7 linked regions of the Nothobranchius furzeri genome follow. The protein of the gene in region 1 interacts with the protein of each later gene in a biochemical or structural test. Links are inferred from orthologs where the notes say so. Each region holds a gene or a part of one and is shown on either strand. Other genes may lie near its edges.

The links.
Region 2: of the proteins of mtor (region 1) and eukaryotic translation initiation factor 4E-binding protein 1, one has a biochemical effect on the other in vitro, tested with the Homo sapiens proteins (29 studies listed by BioGRID and IntAct, with this or other methods). The link is inferred for Nothobranchius furzeri from reciprocal best matches to the Homo sapiens genes MTOR and EIF4EBP1.
Region 3: of the proteins of mtor (region 1) and akt1, one has a biochemical effect on the other in vitro, tested with the Homo sapiens proteins (19 studies listed by BioGRID and IntAct, with this or other methods). The link is inferred for Nothobranchius furzeri from reciprocal best matches to the Homo sapiens genes MTOR and AKT1.
Region 4: of the proteins of mtor (region 1) and maf1b, one has a biochemical effect on the other in vitro, tested with the Homo sapiens proteins (2 studies listed by BioGRID and IntAct). The link is inferred for Nothobranchius furzeri from reciprocal best matches to the Homo sapiens genes MTOR and MAF1.
Region 5: of the proteins of mtor (region 1) and prkn, one has a biochemical effect on the other in vitro, tested with the Homo sapiens proteins (2 studies listed by BioGRID). The link is inferred for Nothobranchius furzeri from reciprocal best matches to the Homo sapiens genes MTOR and PRKN.
Region 6: the proteins of mtor (region 1) and stat3 form a complex in vitro, tested with the Homo sapiens proteins (2 studies listed by BioGRID, with this or other methods). The link is inferred for Nothobranchius furzeri from reciprocal best matches to the Homo sapiens genes MTOR and STAT3.
Region 7: of the proteins of mtor (region 1) and rps6kb1b, one has a biochemical effect on the other in vitro, tested with the Homo sapiens proteins (18 studies listed by BioGRID and IntAct, with this or other methods). The link is inferred for Nothobranchius furzeri from reciprocal best matches to the Homo sapiens genes MTOR and RPS6KB1.

What each region holds. Positions count from the first base shown.
Region 1 is NC_091755.1:52,502,060-52,505,559, reverse strand, and holds part of mtor (serine/threonine-protein kinase mTOR), read left to right. Parts: intron 1-52; coding exon 53-161; intron 162-244; coding exon 245-428; intron 429-1,198; coding exon 1,199-1,327; intron 1,328-1,405; coding exon 1,406-1,650; intron 1,651-2,924; coding exon 2,925-3,134; intron 3,135-3,500. UniProt on the Homo sapiens protein: Serine/threonine protein kinase which is a central regulator of cellular metabolism, growth and survival in response to hormones, growth factors, nutrients, energy and stress signals.
Region 2 is NC_091757.1:46,259,649-46,263,752, reverse strand, and holds the start of eukaryotic translation initiation factor 4E-binding protein 1, read left to right. Parts: upstream 1-1,304; 5' UTR 1,305-1,626; coding exon 1,627-1,762; intron 1,763-4,104. UniProt on the Homo sapiens protein: Repressor of translation initiation that regulates EIF4E activity by preventing its assembly into the eIF4F complex: hypophosphorylated form competes with EIF4G1/EIF4G3 and strongly binds to EIF4E, leading to repress translation.
Region 3 is NC_091758.1:33,917,168-33,920,667, reverse strand, and holds part of akt1 (RAC-alpha serine/threonine-protein kinase), read left to right. Parts: intron 1-300; coding exon 301-429; intron 430-3,500. UniProt on the Homo sapiens protein: AKT1 is one of 3 closely related serine/threonine-protein kinases (AKT1, AKT2 and AKT3) called the AKT kinase, and which regulate many processes including metabolism, proliferation, cell survival, growth and angiogenesis.
Region 4 is NC_091747.1:46,933,900-46,938,150, reverse strand, and holds the start of maf1b (MAF1 homolog, negative regulator of RNA polymerase III b), read left to right. Parts: upstream 1-1,451; 5' UTR 1,452-2,060; intron 2,061-2,322; 5' UTR 2,323-2,328; coding exon 2,329-2,411; intron 2,412-3,694; coding exon 3,695-3,826; intron 3,827-3,901; coding exon 3,902-4,064; intron 4,065-4,135; coding exon 4,136-4,251. Other genes in the region: zfand1 (AN1-type zinc finger protein 1), read left to right, coding at 1-56, 183-301, 408-563, 937-1,113. UniProt on the Homo sapiens protein: Plays a role in the repression of RNA polymerase III-mediated transcription in response to changing nutritional, environmental and cellular stress conditions to balance the production of highly abundant tRNAs, 5S rRNA, and other small non-coding RNAs with cell growth and maintenance.
Region 5 is NC_091752.1:62,524,971-62,529,260, forward strand, and holds the start of prkn (E3 ubiquitin-protein ligase parkin), read left to right. Parts: upstream 1-1,490; 5' UTR 1,491-1,562; coding exon 1,563-1,569; intron 1,570-4,290. UniProt on the Homo sapiens protein: Functions within a multiprotein E3 ubiquitin ligase complex, catalyzing the covalent attachment of ubiquitin moieties onto substrate proteins. Substrates include SYT11 and VDAC1.
Region 6 is NC_091745.1:6,835,032-6,838,531, forward strand, and holds part of stat3 (signal transducer and activator of transcription 3), read right to left. Parts: intron 133-3,500; coding exon 1-132. UniProt on the Homo sapiens protein: Signal transducer and transcription activator that mediates cellular responses to interleukins, KITLG/SCF, LEP and other growth factors. Once activated, recruits coactivators, such as NCOA1 or MED1, to the promoter region of the target gene.
Region 7 is NC_091753.1:29,214,564-29,218,602, forward strand, and holds the start of rps6kb1b (ribosomal protein S6 kinase beta-1), read left to right. Parts: upstream 1-1,239; 5' UTR 1,240-1,348; coding exon 1,349-1,417; intron 1,418-2,533; coding exon 2,534-2,577; intron 2,578-2,661; coding exon 2,662-2,782; intron 2,783-2,912; coding exon 2,913-2,981; intron 2,982-4,039. UniProt on the Homo sapiens protein: Serine/threonine-protein kinase that acts downstream of mTOR signaling in response to growth factors and nutrients to promote cell proliferation, cell growth and cell cycle progression.

The sequences.
Region 1 (3,500 bases):
AAAAGGTCAGAAGCTCACAGGATTAAATGTATGTTTGCCATTGTCTGAGCAGGTGTGTCGGTGGGTCCTGAAATACAAAACCTGTAAAAACCCCCTGATCCAGATGACCATCCTCAACCTGCTGCCTCGCTTAGCTGCATTCCAGCCGCATACGTTTACAGGTGGGTCTGTCTGGATCAACAGTTTCGCTTTGATGCATTAACCTAAAGTCATCTGCACATAATATGTTTATCTGAACTGACAGACCAGTACTTGTCCGACACTATGGGGTATCTGCTGGGCTGTCTGAAGAAGGAGAAGGAGAGGACGGCAGCTTTCCAGGCTTTGGGGCTTCTAGTGGTGGCTGTCAGGACGGAAATCCAGCCGTACCTCATGAAGATCCTTGAGATCATCAAGGCTGCGCTGCCACCCAAAGACTTTGCACACAAGTTAGTCACTAACACCGTGTCTATGATTTTTAGGTTCCATTATTTTATTTATCTACATTTTATTCATATTCAGATTCCCATTTTTGTTTCTGTGAGGGTACATTTTTGGATTATTAGTGATTTATTTTAAGCTCTGTTATTTATTGTATGTATTGAGTTTTTGGAGTGGAGTGTGTTGGTCACACTCTACATAAACACATTTCATGTATAACCCAATGTTATACTGACAGTCGGTCATGCTGAGTTTCACATGTATGTCTTCAACCATATTTCCTGTGTAAACTGCCAAAATTAAATAGACACAGAAACACTTGCGTCAGAAAAGCCACACAGATATACGTCGCTCTATAAAATTACATACAAGGACTCGACAACTTAGGTCGCGACCACGGAAAGCTGTTGAGTTTTGCAGCCAGGAGAGAGCAGAGTAAGTCTCAACTAGTAGAAGCTAACCGTTAGCATTAGCATCTCTAAAACAAGGTGGAATGTGCTTGTTTTACTTGCAGAGATAAAACCTCAACGTTTGCATTTTTACCCAAGAAAGATGAGGCAACGAAGGCAGCAGTAGAGGCTCGTTGTTGTTAGCCAATCAGAGGAAAGATGTTTGCATATCATGAATAATAATGAGTAAAACTCAAAATGTTGCCGTTTTCCACCTCTCCACTCCTCCCGCTAATTTATACTTCCTGAAACAGGAGCGTTGGGATTAGCTAATATAGGTTTAGAACAGTATAATAACCATGTTACTTTGATGTTTGTTATGTTTACAGGAGGCAGAAGACCATGCAGGTGGATGCCACAGTGTTTACCTGCATTAGCATGCTCTCTAGAGCCATGGGCCCCAGCATCCAGCCCGACATCAAGGAGCTCCTGGAACCAATGCTGGCAGTGGGCCTTAGGTAGGACAGGCTGACAGATTTTGACTTTTCAAAGGTGATGTGGTGTTCTCACGTATCTTTTTTCACGTCTTGGTCTAGTCCTGCTCTAACTGCAGTGCTTTACGACCTGAGCCGTCAAATCCCCCAGCTGAAAAAAGATATCCAGGATGGATTGCTGAAGATGCTTTCTTTGGTATTAATGCACAAGCCACTGAGACACCCAGGAATGCCCAAAGGCCTGGCTCACCAGCTCGCCTCGCCGAGCCTCACAAACATTCCAGAGGCCAGTGATGTTGGCAGCATCACCCTGGCCCTGCGCACGCTAGGAAGCTTTGAATTTGAAGGTAAGCACCTTTAAACACACTCTGCTAAGCTCTCATAGGCTCCAGTTTTTTTATAAAATTTCTGCTACAGAAGCCTCAGATCCACTTCTGGGTTTGGGACTGGGCGAGGCGGGTCATTGTGGACCAGTATGGGTCTGCAATTTCAGGAGAGCATTTCTATCACAGTTTGGGCTCTCATGTTGGCAGGCAGGGTTAAATCAACCCTCATGCGCGATTTCATAAATAACTTTTGAAACTATTCAGTATTTTTGTGCTGCAATAAATGTTCTGCAGAGCTAAAGTCAAAAAATCAAATGCTTACCAACGGGCTCCCCAAGTGCGGTCGCTGAGTCCCAGCCTGCCTCGCTGCCTCGGTTTGCCGGTCTGTGGCATCCAGCGCGTCGTAGCGTCTCTGTTGGGCTGAGCGAAATGTCCTGAAATCAATAACACGATATATTGAGGATTTCCCCTCGATAACGATAAATGGACAATTACTACAGGTATGCGCAGAAACTAAAGTTATCCACTAGATGGGGCTGTCACGTGTATTACGTTCAGCCACATTTGTACGTGACTCAATGTGGTACAGCTTCTTAAAGGGACATGAACGTTGCCAACCTACACAGCTTTTCATTTTTTTCACTATCAAATTTATTGACATGGGAAAATTAATCTCGATAAAAGTCAGAAATTTCGATAACGATGAATTTTCGATTTATTGCCCAGCCCTAATCTCTGTGTATTTCTCCCATTTCCACTCCGGCTGTTTCTGTTCCTAACTTTTCTACATTAAGCTTTAATTTCTTCAGCTTGGCCCGACACCGTTCCGACATTCACGCAAATCCTTCGGCTGCCATCCGCTGAGAAACCTGCAATCCTTACCGATCCACCTAGCTCTTCCATAGCGTAGACTCTCACGATGATGGAGAGGAATGTATGGAGCTCTCAAGCCGCTTGCTGGAATTTCTCACATTCGTGTACAACTAATGAAAATACAAATAACGAAACTCTGAGGTTTGTTTTGCTTGTTGCAAGTAGTGACACATTTTTGCTCTCCAATCAGTGGACTGTATTGTTGCTCCACATTAGCTGTACAAAATTCTGTGCCTACAGCAGAAGGAGGCAAATGTCCTGTGACTGGCGTGGTCTGGGTCATCGGGACAGTGAAACTAGCAAACCAACCCTCCCTGTTCCGTGCCAGTTTGGTGGTGGAACTGGGCTCAGAGAACCACACAGCAAAGCGCTGACGGTTGCTTTCTTCCTCGCTAACACAACGTTTAAACTTTATTCGCCAGGACACTCCCTGACCCAGTTTGTGCGCCACTGTGCCGATCACTTCCTGAACAGTGAACACAAAGAGATCCGAATGGAAGCTGCCCGGACCTGCTCACGTCTCCTCACGCCCTCCATCCATCTGATCAGTGGCCATGTGGTCAGTCAAACCGCTGTTCAGGTTGTTGCAGATGTGCTCAGCAAGCTGTTGGTCGTGGGCATCACCGATCCAGGTAAAGTTGTCAAGATTTTGGGATCGTACTGATCTCAGACTCACTCGCCTTCATGACTCGGGCTGAATGCCTGTCTTTGCCTGTTTTTAAGTCTTGTTTAAAGACCCACTTTTATGACTTGGCTTTTAGACAGTGTCTCATTTTATCGTTTTATTGTTTTTAGTGTTGTGTTTTATTTACTGTTCTTATTGATTTTACCTGCTAGTGACGCCTTGTTTAGCTCCTTATTGCTTTTGTCTTTCTCTGTTTTAATTGACCCTGCCTGTTCAGCACTTTGGTCAGCTCTCACGCTGTATTTTAAATTGTGCCATAGAAATAAAGTTGATACTATATGATATGATATGGTATGACTCAGTGGGGTCGTGG
Region 2 (4,104 bases), on another chromosome or scaffold:
CCAGTGAGACGAGGAGCCCTGCAATGGACTGCTGAAACATGCACCAAGTTCATGCAAAAATGTTAACTCTTGCAAAAACTAGAGAACACATGTATATTCCTTTAGAATGGATTGAAGACATTATTAATAGCATATTACTCGATACTAAGGAATGCAACTGCGCACATGCACAAAAAGTTTTTAATATAAAAATGGCTATATATATGAAACATACAAATATATATATTTACTTAGAATGCTATGCACCCCTGTCAACTGGGATTCCTGTTATGTTATGGATGTCCTTTTTGCATCATACAGCTGTAGCTACTAAGAGACTTTTAAGTTTGGGTAATGCCTGCAACCTGGGGATAAATAGGGGTTTTGTGGGTGTTTTAACTTATTTTGTTTGCTTTTTTATTGTCATGGAGAGTCAAACATAAAATATACATGTGAAAACCTTTTAATCCAATCAAAATCTGAGGGCATCTGTTGACAATTTACTCTGTACACCAGCTCAACATTTACAAAAATTAATAAAGAAATGAAACATCTTTGCGTATTGCGTGTAATTTTTTTCATGTCTTTAAATGACGTTTCTTGACTTTGAAGTGTGTTTTTTCCTGACTGACACAGTGAGTAGATCTTCGCTCGTTTAACCATCCTGCCAGGAGATGCATCAAGCTTTGGGGGAAGTCTGTTATAGACGTGCTGCAAAAAAGAAACATGAATTCAAAGAAATTCATGAAATCTGAATCTGATTTAAAAGCTTCTCTTTGTGTTATTAAAACTTGTGAAGTTATAGATCTAACATCTCAGAGCTAGGAATGTGGTCAGAATAAATAAAACAATTATGTAAGGGCTTTTAAAAGCAAATTGTATTGAAAATACATTAAAATGCCGAAGAAACACACACACACACACACACCTGAATAAATTCAATAATTATATTTGAGCAGAAGATGACAGCAGGATTTACTTACTGATTTTGCTCCTTTTAAATAAATCATCTGTCAACTTGACATGATTTAAAATCATTTCGGAGGCGGACTAGAATAAGGCAATCTTCTTGTTGAAAGCATAATAACGCAATATAACGTTCCTTAAAAGGTGAAAATCTGGAACAGTGTCTGCAGATTTTGTATTTAAGAAAATTTTCAAATAGAATGAGGTGAAAATAAATACATAGTTTTTTAAAAATAATAATAATAATTATTATTATTATTTTAATCTCTGTAGCCTAGTATGCACCAGTAGATGGCGGAATAAATTCGTTTAGTTTGCACCGAACAGCGTTCTCCCTACAGGGCTGCAGCAGCCTGTCTGTATGCCTTGATGGTCTGCCTGCGTATGTCTGTGTGTTGTTTTGTGTGCATGTGGAAACAGAGAAACGGGTGCTGCTGAGGTCCTTTTTCACCAAACATCCTCGACCCGTTTTGAGTGAGAGCGCGTGTGTTAATGTGGCTAACTTTAATCGCCATAGTTTGCACTCATGAAATCTAGATATTTATTTTTATTCATCAGAAGGCGACCGTTCTGCTGCTGAGCCAAATCTAACACTCCTCTGGCTTTGTTCTGTCAAACCCAGACGTTCTTCTTGTTTCATGTCATCCAGTTAGTTACTTTTAATTTTTTAGTTGAGAGAAGATGTCCACAGACTTTCAGAAGACAAATGCCAAGGCCATCCCGTCCACCAGGACAGTGGCCGTCAACGAAGCGGACCACATGCCACACGACTACTCCACTACTCCCGGGGGGACCCTTTTTAGCACCACACCGGGCGGTACGTTGTGTGTTTTTAACTCCACATTAACGTTTGTGTGCTTGGTCAAAAGGTCAGTGGCACGAGACCTGAATCCATTTAACAGCAGCGTTGTTGCGTGTGTTCATGCTAACTCCATGAGGTCGGCTTGGCTGCTGTCATCTGATAGCTAGCTATACTGAAGCTAACCGCTAACGCTAACTAGCGATCATTGAAAAAACAGAATAGTGAAAAACTAAAAAGTGGCTTTGAGGCATATGACCAATGTCGTTTTGTAAATGTAATTTTGCAACACAATAACTAATTTTCAATTAAGTGAAAATCGTTTTTAGGGTTTTACTTTGACTTCTGTACATCTTGTCACTGGGATCTGAGTCACGTGATCAAATCGGTGCTCTTGAGTTTATTGGCGGTGACCTAACCAGTTTAAAAGCCCATTACGACCACCTACTGGACTGGAATTTGGGATCAGATGCAGCAAAAGAAAAAAATCCAGTGGTGGGCCTAGAAAAACATGTACGGGGTGGCAGAAGGGGGCAAAATTTTGAGGATGGTAAAATGGAGCATAAATTACTATACTCTTTGGGCACACAAAAGCTTTTGAACTAAACTATCCATTAAAAATGTGTCTGTGAATTCCTATGCACTGAGCTGTACCAAGGTCAGCATAGATGCACTATATGGAAAGAAATAATAATAACAATAATGGATTGGATTTATACAGTGCTTTTCTTGGAACTCAAAGCGCATTCCATTAAAGTCCCATTAGTCATCATCACACGCTGGTGAAATGACATCTCCGTATTTGACCCATCCTCATGGGGAACGGTGAGCTGTAGCAGTGGCTGCACTCGGGAACTATTTGGTGGTTAAAGATGAGTGTCTAGCAGGGAGGCATTGGGTCCCATTTTTAACTCATTCACTGCCAATAGTCGTCATTGGAATTTTTTTACTGTGTGGGCATTGGAACGAGTCCCCGCGCCGAGAAGCAAACGTCTCAGCTCTGAAGCTGATCTTCATCCGCATACGTCACAGGTCACATGACCAGGAAGCAGAAAATCCATGTGTTAGGAGATCGGTTTGGGTTGTTCCTTTAAAAAAAAAAACATGAGGCGCGAACCGGAAAAGCGTCTGCCGATCACAATTCGACAACGAATTATGAAAGAATGGATAACGCTTGAAACACGCGGATTCTTCCTGATCTAAGAGGTGAGTCTCCTCTTTGTTTTGGTTGTTTTGGCGTCGACATCATCCTAGCGCGCAACGTTCTGTGACTCTTAAAAAACAGTAAAAATGGCGAGAAATGCTGGCAGTGAAGGTCTTCAGCGATCAGGAAATGGCTGGCAGTGAATGAGTTAAAGTCTTTGGGATAACCCGATGAACCACGATCTCCCAGTTCCAGTGCGGACACTCTTACCACTAGGCCACTCAGAAGGTTATATTGTTCACACTCTCACGTTCACACTGCCGGGGATGGTAAGCTACGATGTAGCCACAGCCACTCTGGAGTGGGCTGGCATTTTGTGCCACCACCAACACAATGTTTCACTGCAACAAGGTACTAAACTTTAGTTTTATTATTCACTCAAACACATTTCTTTCCCTGTTAATTCATCAGTATTTACATAACCATATATGTTTTTTTTATTTCAGGTCATTATTTTATCAGCTTGTGTCATGATCGGTGTAATCGGACATGCTACTTTCACATTCATAATGTCTGATTTGCCACAACTATTTCATGAATTATTGCTGCCTTCTTCTGAGGTGGCAAAACTTTCCTTTAGGGAGGCAGTTGCCACCCCAGTAGATCAGCCCCTGAATAAATCCAACAAAACTAGATTTTTTTTTAAATCTGACAGATTGTTTATTTTAAGAGTTTAATGAGGTCAGAGCTGTTACTGCTTTGCCAAAGAGGCTTCATTGTTTAACTGACATTGTGATTAAAACTAGGGATGCACCGATACCTCTTTTTTCCAAACCGATACGATACCGATACTTGGATCTGGGTACTTGCCGCTGCCGATTACTGATACCGATACTTCCACCACACAAAAAAATGCAATGATATGGAATACAGATTTTATTTTCTTCTCTGCTTTCAACAGGAAAAGACTGTGAGGTAAATAAAAAGTAAAATATATGAATGGAAATCATCACAAAACTAAAATATTAGGTGAACAGAAATGACAAGTTACAGTGAAGCCATTTTCAAGCAACTGCATTGGTATCGGTTCCTGGTATCGGTTAACTTTCACTGATACCGATACTGGTATCGGTACCGATGCCAGTATCGGTATCGGTGCATCCCTAATTAAAACAGACCTGTTATTTATTTATTTCAGATTTACGTTAATAACACA
Region 3 (3,500 bases), on another chromosome or scaffold:
TGTAGTATTTTAACCAGAGTGCATCATAGAATAATGAAAATGCAGAAAAAATGTGTCCAGATGTTTGCTAAATTCAGCCTTTGTGTCATAGATAACAAGAATGAGCACCACTGTAACTGCAAACGTGTTAAAGGGAACAACCTGTTTGTTGTTGATCATAAAATCACAAAACTGTTGCACTTATCATTTTGGGAAAACAAAACAAACTCCTGAGTAAGCAGCGGAGATTCTAAAATGCAACTTTTTTTTCCTCATCTTTCATCACTTAACTGTTTTTTGTTTCCTGTTTTGTCAAATCAGGAGAATACATCAAAACCTGGAGGCCAAGGTATTTTCTCCTCAAGAGTGACGGTACATTTATCGGATACAAAGAGCGACCACAAGATGTTGACCAGCTGGAAACCCCCTTAAATAACTTCTCTGTAGCACGTGAGTGTCTGCTCCAAAGAAACCCCCTCTTCTCTGTGTCTTGGCAGCTTGTTCTACCCTCCAGTTTGATGCTTTTCTTCTTTTTACTTGCTTTGTTGTTAGAAGTACTTTCACATACTTGTTCTCAGATGTGTCCTGTTTGTAAAATATAGTTTAAACCCTTTGTATTCTGGGGGAAACTGTGTCTAAAAGCCTAATAATATCCTTACTGAAAGGGAATCGAGAGTAAAAAGACTATTGATTTTGGTTTGCTTTCGTGGCGAGCCCTCCTAGATGTCCTGAATGCATTTCCTCAAACTGTCACAATAAATCCGTTATCGACGCTAATGTATAAATACTACATCTAGGACAAAATACTCAGTGTTTTGCACCTTTTTTCTAAGAGTCTGTTCAGCTGATAAGGTTTTTTTTTCCCCTGCTCATCATTGCCACATTGAGTGCATAACTAGTGTTTTTAAAGTGTGGTTTCAGTTTAGCTATTTGTTAACCTCAGGAACTCTAAACACAGGATGCACAAAGCCACTTGGAGAATGCAGCAGATTGTAGCTTACCCAGGGCTTTCCAGGATTCCCTGGATTCTTTTCTGGATTTCAAAAGGAATGCACAATGATTACATAACTTCAAGTTCAAAATGTATATTTTTTGTGTGCATCAGTCCTCAATAAACTTAAAAACAGCCAATTTGCTGCATTGAGTCTAAATTGATTTAGAAAGCCAAGAGTTTGGGTTACATTTTGAAATCATGGTATTGAGGATGTTTACGTGGAAACTGGACTTGATAACATCATGTGATAGTTAAGGCTTTCACACGATGTGGTAAAAATGAATCTATTTAAATACACTGAAGTAACATGTTTATATTGTCCCAGAGTTAAGGGAATTGGTTTTAAAGAGATGCATAAAAAAGTTAGCTGATGGCCTAAAATCAGAGAAAAGTAACGCATTGCCAGTTGTTTAATTGGGGTATGTAATTCAAATGAAACTTTCTGTGCTGCTAGTTGGTTCTGTACTACCTGTAAACACTCAAAACATGGAAAACAGCTTTCCATCTGTTTTGGTCACTTTTTGGTTTAGGAATTGTATGCATAAAACAAGTTGATTCAAAAAGTCTCCGTTTGTGACATCACAATTGCAGGAATTAGCATAGAACCACCACTCACCTGTCTGTTGTCATGCTCGGAATTTTAGTTTTTAGAATTTCCTTGGCCCCATTTGATGCTTCAGTCAACAATATACTGTGCCGTAAAATTTCCAAGCTACACAAGTGAGAGTAGGGGGTGGCACATCTGACCTATTGGCCAGGAGTTGAAGCGTTTGCCCTTCACCTATTGCATCAAATAGGATGTCGCTCAGAGGTTTGAAGCTGATATGAGGCTGCCGAAGAGATGCATCTGAAGGAAATTTTAGTGTTTCCAGCCATATATTATGTTGGGTGACTTGTTGACGAGTCTATGGAGTGCTTTTATTGGACCCTTGTGCCTGCTCTGTCTTCTCGATCCCCAGTGAGTCGTGGAGGATGGCTGCTTATACTGAGCCAGGATTCTCTGGAGGTTTCTTCCTGTTAAAAGGGAGTTTTCCTCTCCACTGTTGCTGCATGCTTGCTTAGTATGAGGATTGCATCAAGTCACTGACACTAGTCGGTGACTTGATGCAATTTGCTGGGTTCCTTTATATAGGAAACTTTTTTCTGATTGGCTTAATGAACTGACCTGGATCGGAATGTTTATTATATGAAGTGCCTTGAGACGACTCGTCGTGATTTGGCGCTATATAAATAAACTTGAATTGAATTGCATTAAAGAGCATTTTTGTTCAAGATGGTTCTATTCCGTCAGTGATACGAGCCTTCGGACGATGAGTTAGACATTATTTTAATTCTAGAGTAGCTTGACGAAAGCATTTACTGTGTCTGCAGTTATTGTTATGTTATATCCTTGATTGGCATACATGACTGGAATCACAAGCATCCTGGCTTTCTAATGAGGTACATATGTGTGTGTGTGCATTAGGGTTGTCACGATACTAAAATTTCAAACTTGATTCGATACTTGAAAAATAACTCGATGCTCGATTTCGATACTATTTAAAAACACCAATTTATTGAGCAAGTTTATTCGAAAAATAACATTCCTCAATTTATATTGCAAAAATTAAATGTTAAGAATTAAGTGTATTAAGTGCTTAAACCTTTCAAGTATCAGCATTTTTTAAAACGTGCATACAAAAACTGGTGAAAGTTAACACTTTAAATCATGAATTGTCTCACTATGAATACACTATTTGCAGAGTGATGTTTTGCTGCTTAAACTCTGTTTAAGGTGCATTTTTGTCATAAGATGTAATGCCATATGTTTTGTTCTGTACTTTTGAACAACTCTGTTGGCCAATAAAGGGAGAAAAGGAATTTCTCCACAGTAGGACAAAGGTACATCTACCGGTAATCTTAATAAAAACAGACTGGCGCACGGCAGTGACGTCATTAAAAGCGCCGGTTAATTAGCCGCAGCTAGTCTGTTCACGCCTAGAAATCCCAGACCCGCTCCAAACGAACAGGGGAATCATGTTAATGATTTCTAACAAAACCTTTCGACATTGAGATGTGTTTTGGTGCAGATAATGTCTTATTTCGAGGCTGCACCATGGGTGCCCGTCCGCACCCGTTATATGGATATACACTGATGGCGATTCGCTGATGGATCTAAATACCCCGGGGAATCCAAGTAGCACCAAAGTTGTCAGCGTGAGTAAACAAACGTACTGCATGCTAGAAATTAAGTCTGGGTTGCAATAAACGGGAGTTTTCCTTTAAGCACATAAGCGTGAATATACAACTACGTGTCGGACTTGGTATGCTAATTAAGTTGGGCTGTGAAGCGCCTCCCAAATTCACTGTTTATGTTTTTGTTTATTTATTTGGCAGACAAAACTTGGATCGGAGACAACTCGCGTGGGAAATTGCAATGTAGCCATGCGGCGTCTTCTTCTGTTTGTCTGGGAGGCGGAGGCTGCTTTACGGCATCTGGCTGTCGTGCGTGTCGGTGTACTTGAAGAAGGCTGTGTATAATAGTCCA
Region 4 (4,251 bases), on another chromosome or scaffold:
GGAGGCCCAAAAGCCCCGGATGGCAGCCACCAAAGAGCTAGTGCAAAAGATTGTAGGTCGGTTTAAAAAGAGGAGATTCTTGTGTTGAATCTAATTTCTACACGTGGGTTTAGGATCGGTCAACAATAACCAAAAAATACATCAGGTTTATCCATTTAAATTGTGTTTAATTGTCTGATTAGAGTCAAAAGCTGGATCCAAAAGCAAAGGATGCAAGGGAGCAAAGAACGCTGCCACTGCAGCCAAGGTAGCTCTGATGAAACTGAAGCTGCATGCTGTAGGAGATAAAGGGCTGCCACAGGTGACAGATCAGCTTTCAATTTCTTGTTCTAGCATTGTTGTGTGTTGCATGTCATGAATCAAGCACACACATCTTACTCTCGTCTTGCATTCCTTCTGCTTTCCAGACAGAAAGAACCTATTTTCAGGTGTATCTTCCAAAGGAAGCCAAAGAGCGCAGCCAGCCCATGTTCTTTTCTTCCAAATGGAGTGTTGGGAAAGTGGTGGATCACGCAGCCTCTCTAGCCAGCCTGAAAAACAACAACAATGTACTGACAGCAAAGGTAAAAGACTGACTGACTTATTTAGTGGTGTGTATTTTATCTACTTACTCCATCAAAAATGCATCCTGTGATAACAAGGAAGTTTAAAATTTCTCGTGAGGAAAGACCTTAATGCATAACCAGCTCAGATATCAACCCAATTCATAGGGAAAATGTTAGTTCAAAACATTTTGCACAACTAACTCTTTACCTTAAGAAAACTCTTTACCTTTACTTTAAGAAAACAGTGGTAGTCTTATCATTTAAGACTGATGTAATTTTTTTTCAGTTTATGAAATCTTTTTTTTCTCTGCCTAAACTTAAAAATATTTAAAATTCCCTGTTTTTGCCAGTAATATGAGCCGATATTAAACTGCCGTAACCCTTTGTGCAGAAGCTGCGTCTCTGCCATCCCCAGACTGGTGAGGCTCTCAGGATGGATGACACCCTGCTCTCTCTGCTGTCTCACACAGAATCTCCCCTGCATAACGGGGGTAATGTGATCCTGGAGTACCTGGACAATGAGAGCTCAGGCCTGGAGGATGTTTCGGACTATTTCACACAGACGTGACCAATCAACATAATGGCTTTGTACATTTATGGATCAGTTCTGTTTATAGTTTTTTTTTTTGTCAAAATGCTTTATTGAAACTGGTTTTACATGCAAGACAAATTGACATAATGAATTGCCACATGACCGAAATGAAAATAAATAAATAAAAAAGATTTGTTTGATTATTCTGCAATGATTTTATTTTTTTTAAAAACACGGGCTAATTATATATATATATATAATGTTGTTTATTGTTTTTGCTGCTGAGGTTTCCAGTTACATCTCTCGTCTGGAGCGAAACGGTTCCAACCAATCACAGCTTCCATTTCTGACATTGACAGACTCGAGAAGCCAATCACAAGAGGACATTAAGAAAGTAGGCGGGAACGATAGCGAAGCAGTTGTACAAGAAAAGGGGTTGGGTCGTCCGTTAACAGTAGATCCCGTTGTTTTGACTTGTTCAGGTTGTCGACCGAAAGCAAAACCAAAGCTCCGCTGAAATTTAACTAGAATCGGTAGAAATTAGCCGCTTGTCCGATCGAGTCGCCGGGAAAAGGAGCGACTTGATCTGTCTAATATCGGTCGTTTGAAAAATCAGGTCGAAAGGGATGCCGCTGCAGCGAGACTCCGAGGAACGCCAACAGTCTTTGGATGTGATCTCGTCGCATTTAATCGGAAAGAGCAGTTTCTGTATAAACCTAAAAAGTCTCAGAATAACTCCATCTCGACCGAGTGCTTTTGAAACATACTCAAGCTCAAGTTCACATTAAAAAGGCTCCGCAGTTTCAGCAAAAAGCTACTAATAATCAGCAAGCTAACGGCTAACGGGCTAGCTAGTGAACAACAAAGCGCGGATCGTTAATCCTCGGTGACCTCTTCGCTGCAGAGGTCGACTAGCCAACCGTGCGGACGGCTGCTTGAGATTTTCAACCAGTTTCCTGCGTTTGCTGAAGAAAATTGTCAAGGTATGAGACGGCGTAAACCAGGAAGACTGGCTGCTAGTGGGGGAGGGGTAGTGGTTTTGGTTTTGGCCAGCGAAATCAATGTTTTGGTCAGAAACGTCCTCACGGGGCGCTGCTGCTAACGCTGCTTTTATCTTATTGTTTCGTTAATGTCGTTCAAATTACTTGTTCTGTTGGGTTAAAATAATTCCAGAGAAGCAGAGAAAATGAGTGCATCTAGTCCTGGTTATCGTTTTAACCATAAAGTTGTGTTTTGTTCCCCCAGACTGCCATGAAGCTGTTGGAAAACTCCAGTTTTGAAGCTCTCAGCTCTCGACTGTGCGTTGAAACTGGAGAGTCTCGCATCCTTGGCAGGTAAAAAATCCCTTCCACCTTATTTCAGCATTTTTAGGATTCTTCTTTTGATGGTGCATCAGTAAAGCCCATTTCGCAGGTATACTGCACAACAAAAAAGGCTATACGTTTTTTTTTATTTATTTATTTTTTATTTTATTTTTTTTCATTATAACTTTATTTAGCACATTTTGAACATACAATTGTAAGACATGGAACACATAAAGTATACCATTGTGGTATTACAACGAAGAATGACAGAAATGATGGAGACATGGAGAAAAAAGGAAAAATAAAAAAAGAAAGGTTTGGAAGAGGTCAAGTCAATCGAACAGTTTCAGATGGTTACAAATGTTAACAGACTTAAGAGCCTTGGTGTTTTTTGATGAGGAGATCGTCCTTATTGTTCAAGTTCCATTTTTAATACAAAGGCTATACGGTTTGTAGGGAAACGTTTGGCCTGCGTGACGTCATGGAACACTAAAGTGTTGCATACATCCTGCTGCTAACCAGGGTAGTGGAGCAAAGCGCCACTCAAGGGTTATGCAATATGATGATAGCAGTTTACAATCCCCAAGGCCTACTTTCAGAGCTTGCAGTTCTGCAAAGCCCTGCAGCTGCAGTTAGAGAGGGTGTTGTTGCATAAAGCCTGGTGGCCGGGTTGTGCGCTTATGCAGAGTTTGATGTGTGGGTGTTGAAACTGAAATATGTTGGTTGTGACGCAGATCTCACCAGACCCTGTGGTTATTTTGGAGACAAGTGTTAAAGCACACATTACATGATAACTGAGTGCTGCTGTTTAGACGATGGTTGTGCAAAAACCAGCTGTACAGGACAAGTGTAAATAAATAGCTATACCCTTTATAAATAAATTAGGATGTTGTCTAGAGAAGTGTGTGTGTGCGTTGTGTTGGAAATACCAGCATTGGTATTTCCACTCTGCTGTCCTCTGATGTTTTCTATAATTAGCCCGTGGGGTCTGGAGGGATTTCTCTGGCCAGCTTGTCCTGAGCTGCCTCATCTTGTGTAACCTCTGAGTGTGATGAGGCAAAATAAACACACACACTAGTCTGCTGCACTCAGATATCCATATCAGCGACGTCTGACCCAGATACCGAGAACTCTATCGGGGGCTCGCCTTGTGTTTGTGTAGATGAGACGTCTCAAATGATGTGCTCTATGTGCCACACTCCTGATTTGTGTATCTTTCCCCCCCCCCCCCCCATTACTAAACAGTGCAGCAGGTTGATAATCGATTCATAAATGGCTTAAATAGGCTTAATGTTGTGCTGTCTCTTCTGCAGGATCGAGAGCTACTCCTGTAAGATGGCAGGAGATGATAAACACATGTTCAAGCAATTCTGTCAGGAGGGTGAGCCACACGTCCTGGAGGCCCTTTCGCCCCCTCAGTCCACCAGCACCACCAGCCCTTCACAGTGAGTAACTTGGTCCGCTGCAGTGGTGCTCCATGACGGGCGAGTCTAGATGTTCTAAACGATGTGTTCCTGCAGGCTGGGGAAGAGCAGCGAGGACGGGGAGAACCCTCTAAGTGATAAAGTTTGCAGGAAGACCCTCTTCTACCTCATTACTACACTCAACGAGTCCTTCAGGCCGGACTACGACTTCAGCACTGCTCGGGCCCACGAGTTCAGCCGCGAGCCCAGCGTCAACTGGGTCAGCCTGGTGACCTTTTAGAGGTGATCGAGGAGCAAAAGCGGATGAGTGATGGTTGATCTTCTCCCCAGGTGGTGAATGCAGTAAACAGCAGCTTGTTCTCCGCCGTGGGGGAGGAGTTTAACTCTCTGGGACCGGAGCTGTGGAATGCCATCGATCAGGAGATCAATCTGCAGAGCTGTGACAT
Region 5 (4,290 bases), on another chromosome or scaffold:
AGCACAGCCCACAGCCAGCTCTTCTGAAGGCAGAGTGAGTCCTGGATCTGAAAAAGCATCTGAAAATTACATTGGAGAAACACATGTGCCACAACCGGTGCTTTTGGTGTGTGGACCTGTTACATAGTTCTAAATAATAACAATATGGAGTTACTGTGTTGAGTAGTTATATTACGTAAATATCAATCCTACTTTTTGGAAATAATAAGCAGTTTGTGCATACAAGAGAATTAAAGAGAATTTAAGGCGAAGCGCTTGCACATACTGTGTTATTGTGTTGTTTTTTGCGGGGGTGGGGGTGGGGTGGGGGGGGGGTGGGCAGGCACCACGAAGTCTTTGTGCTTAGGGCACCAAAATAGCAAGCAACGGCCCTGTCTACAACTATCCCGCAGCATTTCCTTCCTTTGCAGTTCAGCAGAGAGTCGTCGTATATCCTCTTTAAAGAGCAAGTCACTCCAAATCAACATTTTTTTGCTGATAAACTACATAAATGCATGTCTGATCGTGCTGCAGACATGTGTAGTCAATAATTCGGCACCTTAGTGCATTTTAGTTAAAATTTAAATATTCTGCCTAAAATGTCAGTGTTGCACCGTCGTCAGGTAAAAAGTCAGCACTGCATTTGAATTTAAATCTGCCGTCGCTATTGGCTAAGAGGTACACTATGATGTTAGATGGTACATTATGATGTCACAATGTCGTGAGTGTGTGTATTTGTTAGCGGCTCCACCCTCTCTGTCTGCTAGGCAACAGCATTTGTTGCATTTTTCAAACAGGAAGTGGGAGTTGAGTAAGAATCTGGTACGGGGTGACTTGCTCTTTAAGGTTCTCAATCCTTTTATTCGCTTCAGAAGGCATAAAGGCGTCATTGTGGGGCAGAAGGAGAGGGAAGACACACATTCAAATAGCTTCAAGGCAACAGCGAGAACGTCCTAGCTGAACTGCCTCTGACAGATCCAAAAGATTTTTAGTCCAAATAAAAGTCCAAGAAATCAAAAAATCCCCAAAATCATAAAACTATCAAAGGTCCAACAAAATCCACTATATCCAGCAATCAGTGACAGGAAAGAAGAGGTTTTTAGAGGAACTGGAGCAGAAAAGTAGGGAGCTGAAGCAAACTCGTTCTCTGAGTCTTGTGTCTGGTCCTTACTGGTTCTCACTGTGGATAGGAAAGATCTGTGACTGAAGACATTCATCAGGACTGGGTTAGGGCTCACCATCCTGTTGGAGCTGAGACCTACTTCATGGGTACAGATCCATATGAAGATCTACCCACGACCCTGACCTTTGAACTAGAATATATCAGGATGCCTTTATGTATAATGATAGTATTTTACTGCTCTTTGGAGGAAATACTGGCATTTTTTTCATTTAAATCAATGTAAACGGGATTAAAAATGACAGAAAGCTGCATGTTTCGTTTTTACTTGATTCTGAAGTGCACACCTGGGTCCAGCAGGAGGCAGCAGGTTCCTGACGGGGCGGAGCCTGCTCTGGGATTAAAGCTCCCAGAATGCACTGCGGCCGGCTGATTGTAAACAACTCATGAAGGAGACGAACGGATGATCGGTGAGTTCCGTAGCTGGCCGATCACTTTAATTGATCCGTTACTAAATGATCAGTGACGTTGGTTGTTCGGATGAGTTCTGGTTATGCTTCCGGTGACTGTCAGATTAAAAGCGGGTCTAATTGTGGACCCACAGGAAACACGTTACAATAAAATTTGTCGTCTTAACAAATGACCATGTTTGTCTTTACCTAAATGCAAAGGTCCAGCTTTAGGGACCCAGACTGCCGCCAAGCCAGCCTCCCGTTCGGAAACGGTCGTCAACCCAGCACCTCTTCGATTTTTACGTGCGCAACTACATCATCCATTACGGTACCTTCGTTCAAGAGTGCCTTTCAAAATTAAAGGGCACTTCCGGGATGTGGGCCTGAACATGCTGATGAACGGATTTCAAAGTTTTTGTTTGTGTTAAAATTGTGTGTAAAATAAAACTGCGTTTTAAATAATATGTCTATTTTAAAAAACTTTAAATTAAAAACAATAAACACATTTGTCTGCTTTGCAAATTTTATCCCATTTTTATATCTTTGGTACGTTCTTGCTGTGTTTGACTTCTAATTCCATTTTTGGTTCTTTTTTTAAAACACAGAAAAGGTTTCGCTTTACCTTGCTGACGGTTTCGTTTGCGGCTGCAAACATCCTCAGAGCTGACGCTGATGGTGGCGTCACTTCCTACTCCGTTTATCCACGGGCAGCAGAGGACGTTGTCGCCCTCTGCTGCCCGCTCTCCCCTCTCCGATGATGCAGTCCCATGCACGATCCAATGTGTAAACTCCATCGTCTCTGTTCATAGTCTCGCATCCATGGATGCGGACTATGAAGTAATGAGACAGCGGGATGTGTTTACAAAATCTCATGCAAACGCTGCAATAAAACATACATAGGAGAAACCGGACGCCAACTCAAAACATGAACAATAGAACATAGAAAGGAGTGCGAGAAAGAAACAAGTTGAAGGCACACGAGCAGCAAAACAAGAAGCAGAAAGCACAATAAAGAAGTCAACCGTAACAGATCACTGCACAAGAGAAAACCATATAATGGACTGGGACAACACAAGGACCACAAACACCGATCAACAGAAATACAAAAGATGGATAAAGGAAGCTATAGCGATAAGAAGACATAGAGGCGGGACTATGAACAGAGACAATAGAGTTTACACATTGGATCGTGCATGGGACTGCATGGACTGCATCATCGGAGAAGGGAGAGCGGGCAGCAGAGGGTGACAACGTCCTCTGCTGCCCGCGGATAAACGGAGAAGGAAGTGACGCCACCATCAGCGTCAGCTCTGAGGATGTTTGCAGCCGCAAACGAAACGTTAGCAAGGTAAAGAGAAACCTTATCTGTTATAAAAAAAGAACCAAAAATGGAATTAAATCTTATCCCTTCCCTCCCTTTCATCCTGATTTGATAGGGCATTTCAAAGTAATATCAAAGTTGACAATAATGCCCATTTTCACTATATTCAATATCTATATATGGGTTTCTTTCTCAAAAACTGTCTGATTTCATAACACCATTCCACTTCAGTGGTAAAATACACATCGACTACTACATTAATAAGGATCTGATGTGGCATTTCAAAATAAACCGATCAAAGCTGACAATAAAGACAATTCTCACTATATTCAATGGTTAATTTCTCAAAAACTGTCTGAATCCTCAACATCATTCCACCACAGTGTTGGAGTAGTATCCAATGTGGAATTTAGAAACAAACCATTTTCAAACCTAATATCTCATCTATTTAGTCCATAGTTATTTACCTCTTCTTACAAAAACTGATGGTCAGTCTCAAGAAAGCCCATCTTTGCTATCCCAATTGAAGTATTATTCTCAAAAACAAGTCAATACAAGTAATTTGTGAATGTGAATTTAAAAAAGGGAAATTTATAATAACTTACAGTATACAATTAAGTTTCACTTTCTCAGAGATAAAAAATATATAACTTTTTTACTTAGCTTAAGATCTCACTGTTTTTAAATAACAAAACAAGTAGTCGATGTGTACTCTAACAATGAGGTGGAATGATGTTGCAGAATCAGACAGTTTTTGAAAAAGAAACCATTGAATATTGTGAAAATTGTCTTCATTGTCAAATTTGATTGAACTTTATTTTGAAATGCCACATCAGATCACGATGAAAGGGAGTGGAGTTATAAGAGTTGCAAAGTAGACAAACGTCTTTATTGTTACATTATTTGTATGAAATGCACTTCATAAATAGTTTGATTGATTGATTGTTGGGTTAGGATTGGGAATTGAAAGTATTTTTAAAAGATTATATCATTTAAAATGCAGTTTTATCTTACACACAATTTAACACACACTTTGAAATCCGTTCATCAGCATGTTCAGACACAAATCCTGGGAGTGCGCTTTTAATTTGAAAGGCACTTTTGAACAGGGCACCGTAATGCCTTATGTAGGTGCGCCCGTAAAAATCGAAGGAGGGTTGGCTTGGCACTTGTTCAGCAGTGTACTCAGACCCATTCTCGGACCATCACCCTAGATGTGCTAGAGGTGCGTGTTTTAGTTTTACCTCTGCTTCAACACACCTGATTTCAGTCAGCAGGTGATTAACTGCAGAGCCGGATGAGCTGCTGCACAGGTGAATCAAGTGTGTTGGAGCAGAGAAACCACTAAAACATGCTGGATACCAGCCCTCACACCTCCAACAAGTTATCAAAATAAAAAAGAGCAGAATTTATATTTC
Region 6 (3,500 bases), on another chromosome or scaffold:
TTGATCCTGCGCAGGTTGTGCTGATAGAGGACATTGTTCTCCTGCAGGAAGCGGCTATACTGCTGGTCTATTTCCCCCAAGAGGTTGTGGAACACCAATGTGGCATGTGACTCCTTGTTAGCAGCGTAAGCCCTTAAAGAAAATCACCAATGTTATAATGACTTACACGTACTCCTCCCAACAACAAGAGCACTTTGTTTACAACTTACCGAAAGCTTTTTAACATACAAACTAAATGTCAGAACACGTGACCTGTTTTGCAAACTACTGCTATGAATCTGACAACATCAAAAACCTAGAAGACAGTGGCGCCCCCAAGGAGTGGCCAGGGGTGGCCATGGCCACCCCTACAAAATTGCTGGCCACACCCAGGGACCCAGTGTTCTTTAATAAGTCATATTATAGTTTACACAATAAATGAATTTATGTTTTGTTACGAACATGAATAAAGGAGCATTTATTGCAATACTACAGGCTAAACTTTCCCAGAGTTACCACGAGGATCAATTTAGCCAACCCAAAATCTTCTCCGGCCCCATGGCCACCCGCTATGAAACTTTTCTGGGGGCACCACTGCTAAAAGGGAGTGCAATAATTCAACACATTCTGTGGTTAGCATTACTGCGACTAACGTTTAATTAATACAGATGCTGACAAGGTGTTACATCCCTCAGCTCGCCAGGAGTGATGTGACAAGTAAATGTTAAGTGGTGTGTCTAATAAGGATGCTCCAATTAGGGCTGCAGCTGTCGAATATTTTTGTAATCGAGTACTCTATCGAATCTTTTATCGATTAATCGAGTACTCTAATAAATTACCCTTTTGCGTTTTTAAACCCTTATATCAAATAGCATGTTATAAAATATGAAAGACCTCTTGAAATGAGAAAGCAATTGCCAGTTATTCTTCAAGTTTTATTCAAAATTAGTTTTCAAAACTTCAGCACTTCAACTTTACTTCACAGTAAACAAATGCGAGCGGCTGCGGCCCAAACAGCACCAGAACCGCTAACGGTGCATGCGCAAACATGGCTCGCCAGCTGTTTCCCTATTAACACACGTTCGTTTTAATTTCTACACTTTTTTTGTCTCACACTAACAAGGATTGTCGAAAGCATGTTGCCGTGGTTATGTCAAATTATACTGATCATAAAACATTTATTTACTTTCTTTCGTTTTCCTCCACCACTCATAAATACCCGTGTCCTCCTGCAGCAATCCTGAGGGACAACGGACATCAATAACAACACAGTAAAAAGTCAGACGTGTTGTAAAAACTGCTATTTTTAGCAAATTTTAAGACCGACGTGTTGCTACCAGATGTACGGTGTGAGCTGAAACTGAGTGCTACAAATGAAAAAGTCGCACAGTGTCTGCAGAATATATAGAAATACAGGCTAAAATGCATTATCTTGTAGAGGCTCCGAGTCCGCTTGCAGAAGTGACATTTACATGTGGATGTTTGCTGGTCAGGTTGCAGCATTGAGCAATGTGGTGTTGTGGTAGGCTAAATCCATTTTACAGTATTTACACTGGAGTACGTTTTCCGCCTTACGACGTGAAAAATGGTCCCACACCTTTGACATTTTGTGTCTTTTTCGCACTCCACCGGGGTCCACGTTGTCCGCCATGGCTTAAAAGAAAGTTAAGTTGCGTTCGCTACTCGCGTGTGCATTCAGTGCAGTGTGTATGTGCGTCACTTAATTCGGTCCGGGTGAAACATGACCCCGGGCAATTGCAAAGCCCTAAATTAATTAAACATGAACTAAACGAAGCCTCGAGGCACAGAATTTGACTCGAGGATTTTTTGTACTCGAATTATTTGAGGTAGGGCTGCTCGATTATGGCAAAAATAATAATCACGATTATGGTGACTGAAAATGAGATCACGATTATTTAGGACGATTTTTCAATTTATGTTGATTTTATTTGTTTTTATTCAGTCATAAAATTGCTCAGGGCACAATCAGGACAAAAATAAATAAGAAACAAGATGATCACTAAAATAACTTCTGATTCCCAGTATAAAAAGACCAATATACTTACAGCTCATAGTCTATGACCCAAGGGCTATAGACCTTGGTTTAACTCGTGTAAGTCTAACCAGTACAGACCCAAATACCAATATCTTGCAAATACTGACATCAAGAATTATACAGTGGCATTTATAACAAATAAATGCAAATAAATTGATGTTCACAAAATGCTTCATAACATTTATTGAGTTGTGTCAAGGTGCTGTAGGAGAGTGCACTAGCACCGTGTCCTCAGAGAGATTAGTTATTATTTATCAGCGTGAGGAACTTATTTCTACCTTATTTATAAACTATTTATTTACAAGTCGTCCATCAGTTAATGTAATAATTGTCCCAAACACAGCTGCACCCCCACCCCCCAACCCGGTCTCACAGCAATCAGGGGAAAGCTGCACATGTGTTTAGCACGCCGCACGTGCACATTTAGCCGTTTTTAGTGGCTCGGGAGTCCGCAGGTACGGTGTGTGTGTCACTCACTCTGGTTACTCCAACAAGGAGCCGGCTCCGAGAGCTGTCTTTAGCGACTGACACATCACTACGGCATTCCATTTCCTAATGTCCTGAAGAACGGTCCGGAGCGCAGGCGGAGTGTTTATCTAACCTGCAGGAAATGTCGACGACAGTTATCCAGAAAGTAGCTAAGGGTTACCAGAGATGTTTCTAAGGTGTTCGCAAGGTACTTTTAAGTTAAAAAGTCAAGAAGGGGGTCTGAAAAGCTGCTAGAAATAGCGTCAAAGTCGCTAAGTTGGCAACACTGTAGCGCTTCATTTGCAACTCAGGGCAGCGCAAGCGGGAGGAGCAAATAATCGGCTTGTTTTGTTTTTTATAATCGTTCAAAACTCAGATTGTAATCGTGATTAAAATTCGATTAATTGAGCAGCCCTAATTTGAGGTACTCGAGGAATCGTTTCAGCCCTAGTTCCAATCACATATTTTTGCTCTCGATCCGAGTCACTTGATTTTGAGTATTGATCGATACCATTACTTCAACAACGCATTAAAATAATACTGAACACATTTATTTATTTTCTCCACATTTCTTTCTTTCTGTATTTGTTATTTTCTTAGTTTATCTGCCAGAAAACATCACCTGTTCAGGAAGCCCATTGATAAGAAACGTGTTCATACACTAATGATATATTTAACAGTGGCCTTGTAGCTTGTATTTCAAATAGGTTTGCAGCTGTTTTGAGGGATTCGCATTCCTGCGACAGGGCAGATATGGCATGTGACGCCAGCAGCATGCTCACTCTTTTCTACAAAACACCAGTACAGCTGCGTCTGTAAAGTTGGGTCAACAAAGCAGCTCATACCACGACTTGTGGAGACCGCAAAACACAACATCTGCAACCACAGTCATCCAGTGCAATAAATACTGTTATCTTGGCATTTAGCGGTCATTTTTGCTGCCATTTTTTAAATGTATCTTTCAGCGTCGACTCAGCTGGCGCCATGTTTTTATCAG
Region 7 (4,039 bases), on another chromosome or scaffold:
TTTAAAGGGATACTTTGCAACATTTTAATATTTTTATATCATTTTCTTGAGCCAGTATGTACTAAAATGACACTTTACATGGTTAATGAAAGGTCACCCAACCCCTATCGCCCCTGAGACCAGAATATTCCACTTGCAACTTCACAGTTGCAGGTCCGGTCTGTTGGGGCTTTTTGAGCTGACCTACCTGCCGTTGCTATCTGGCTTCAGTACATTTCCTGCCTGTTTTAGATCATGAACACAGCGGATGAGTTTAATTTAGTGATGATTCACTCCTCTAGACACTTGGGAACGCTGGGAGATGTTTCAGCTGTTAGATTCGGGTATTAAAAAGGCGAACGCACACCGAGGAGAGTTTTGGTTTCGCTTCTACAAACTGACACTAGGGGGTGCTTAAATCAAGCTAAACTGCCTAGTATCCCTTTAATGATTATTTCTGATTATAATCGGTCACTCTGATGTTTTCATGCAGGATGAACATGAAAATAGTCTTCTACTCCATCTCCTGCATAAGTTTCTGGTAACAGACGGTGAAACTCTAGGATTTGAAAATCCTGACTGATCCACGTCACAGTGTCATTTAACATTCATGGACTCGCCCATCTTGACTTACGATGGGGATGTTGTAGATTTAATGTCCGAGAATCAGTAGAAGACATCTATCTCAACTAGTAGAAGCTAATTATTAGCACGATCAACTTCACATTGAAGAAGCTCCTCCAGGCCTGTGTTGTTTGTAGAGATAAACATCCACATGCAAGTGGTAGAGGCACGTTGCTGTAAGCCAATCCAAGGCCAGATGTCCAAATATCAGGAAATAAGACTAAAACCTGCGCCTGAAGCTCAGCTGTGATTTGGGTAACTTCTAGTTCCTAGAAATGGTGCACAGGTATCCCCTCTTGTATATATGTACAACCAATTTTGTGTTTTTAAACCTCTGTCAAATGAAAACTATTATATTTTAGCATCTAATCATAAACTAAAAGAAGGCGCTTAACATTTTTCACTGCCTGTGGTCAGCTGAATGACCTATGAAAGTCTGTAAGAATGTAAGAAATTACCAAGCTAATCTTGTGCCGTCTTAGAATGAGAATTAAAACATCCAGAGAAAGCAAATAGAAACACATCCACTTGTTGTATACTCAGAAATGATTTTTTTGTGCTTTTATTTGTAACAGTTTCTGTTCTTGAGACAATAAAACAAGTTCCCGCCCCTTTGTTGTGAGCGCCGCAGTGCGCATGCTCACTATAGTAGCCGGTTATGGTGGCCGTGCATGTTTGTCCATGAGGTGGGGGACGCCTGCTGTTCCTGCAGTCTGTGACAGAGCGATTCGAGCGACTCGCTGCCATGGCTGGAGTGTTTGACATTGATTTGGACCAGCCGGAGGAGAATGTCTCCGATGATGAGAACGAGGAGGTACTTTTACGGAAGCTGTCACGGCAGAAACTCTTGACACACGGTAGCTAGCTAGCTAGCATGGTAGCTTGGCAGGAGCCACCGCAGGCCTGTTCCTGCGTGCAGCCAGAACGGTCGGGCCTCCGCACAGCAAAGTGAGAGTTACCCTTAATCGTGACAGAATTGCCTTTTCTTCTGTGTTTCTTTGGTAACAAACACGACTCCGCGATAAGCTGTTGACGCTGTCACGTTTTTAATCCATCGCTGTCATGCTGGAGTTGTGAAAACCATCCTTACTTGGCCAAAGGTGCTGCGGTGATAAATGCGGCTCCGGGTGCAACAGTTTATTTTGGCAAGATGTGACAGAGTGGGACTGTGTGGGCTGAGAGGCTGGCTGCCCGTTTGCTTCTGTTCAAACAGTGATAGAAAAGGCAGAGCTACCGCAGAGTCACGGAGCATAGATGGCGCTGGTTCAAGGCATGTTTTTGTACATCTGCATGTCCCAAACAGGACAAAACCCTCACTACATAGAGAAGTCGGTTCAGCAAACACATTAAATGTTCCCTTTTGCTGATTAGTCTTTGATTCCTGGTGATTTTACTTAGTAATGTGAATATATTTGGACAAAAAAGTGAAACAATGCAGATATTTTCTGTATAAAAAGCTAAAAATATTCCAAGTCGCTAATTAAAAGCAAATCATTTTGAACTGAAATAATTTTAGTTTTGTTTAAGTAGCGTAGACCTACAAGGTGTAGGTGTACACACAAAAAAGCAGTCCATGCAAATTACAATCTAATAATACATTTATTATAAGTGACTTTATCACAATATGTTTATAAAATTGGCATTTTCTTGAACTTAATGTTTTAAATTTTAAATTAAATTCAACTCTAAATAAAATTAAATTTGAGCAACCAATGTTTTATTTGAAGGCTGCAGAGTCACCAGAGGATATTTATCTTTTTGAGATAAATACTTTCTCAGTTGTTGAGTTATATAAATAGTAATGATAAACAAAAAAGTCAATTAAAGGTCCAAACGTTAACACAAAATATCCGAAATAAGACTTATTGGGATTCTTGTTTAGAAAATAATGTAAAATATCATGATCCTGAATTATTTCTCCCCCTGCCAGATTGAAATCAGTGACATTATGGAGCAGTGCGCTGGATTTGAGTTGTAAGTTTTTTTGAACATTTTACAACCAAACAAAGTTAAAAAACGAGACTCAGCGCTGCACCCTGAACCTTATTTCCGCTGCAGCGACATGGACGGCTGTGAGAAGATTGAGATCTCCGAGGACAACGTCAACCAGGGGGCGGAGAACATCAGACCGGAGTGCTTTGAGCTGCTGCGGGTTCTCGGGAAAGGTGGTTATGGAAAGGTAGGACAAAAACTCAACACGTAGTACTCCTGGGAAAGATGTGGGTGGATTTTTTTTGCCTTGGTCACCTGACCAGGGGTTTTCTTGATTACGATTATTCGAAACATGCCTTTCATTTCTTGTCGTTCAGGTTTTCCAAGTTCGCAAAGTTGTCGGAGCTGCATCGGGCAAGATATTTGCCATGAAAGTTTTAAAAAAGGTATTTAAAAGTCACGTTGGATTTTTGTTGTTGGAAACCAGCGTTTGTCAGTTTGTGTCATATGATCATTTTACATACTTTAAAAAAATCCTGACATTCCTGCTGCTGCTGAAGCCGGCGGTAGGGTTAGGCTTCACGGTTAGCTGATAGATCGCTATCTGCACCTCTCTGCTGCCGCCTCGGCTCTTTCAGCTCCAGCCCAACATCTGAAGCCACGTTGGCCCGATTAACTCACAGGATCTGCTGAAATTATATATATGAATGTAAAATATAAAGGTGTCTGTAAAAAAATCAGACTTGTATTTATGGAGAATCTCAGTTTCTGAAGCCAGCTTTAAGATGTGTTTCTTCTTAGAGAAACGACGTTCATCATCCATGGGATTATTCTGTGGTTCCAGAGCTGCGGGAATCAGAGGCTTTCACTTCTCTAAACACTCCGTTCTGAGACCTTTTTATTGTTGACAGACATCTAGTCAGCTGTCTGATCGAAGTGTTTAGTAAACAGAAATACGATCAACAGCGGTGCTGAAAGCTGAAGAGGCAGAATATTCTGGGCAGGCGCTGAAACTTTTCTAGATTAGAAGAGGATTGTCAGGTTTAAAGCTGTCGCAGGCCACAAAAATGTGATTTATTCATTTTAAAAAGGCAGTAATCATTTAAAGGTTGTTTGTACTCGGATAAGTCCAAAATAGGCATAATGGTAATAATTTGAATACAAGAATATTTGAAAATGTTACGGGACTGCAACAGCCTGCCGGAGAGAGAAACCCCGTCGTTAGAGAAAAGCATTTGGGTTGCAGCACATATGCCTGCACTAAAATAGAAATGTCGATTAAACTCCACCTTCACCGTTGTGTCTGGCTTGTTGAGCTATAACAAATAAAATATACAACAATAAAAAAACTTGTTTCTCAGTTCAGGTAATAAATTCTAAACAAATAGAAAACACAGAAGACTTTTCATTTCTAAGAGTTTAGCTAAAGATCTTCCAGGGCAGCAGTCCGTGTGTTCCTATGAACTAATGTTTTTTTTTAATCTCTACTTTGGTGTTGATCGCC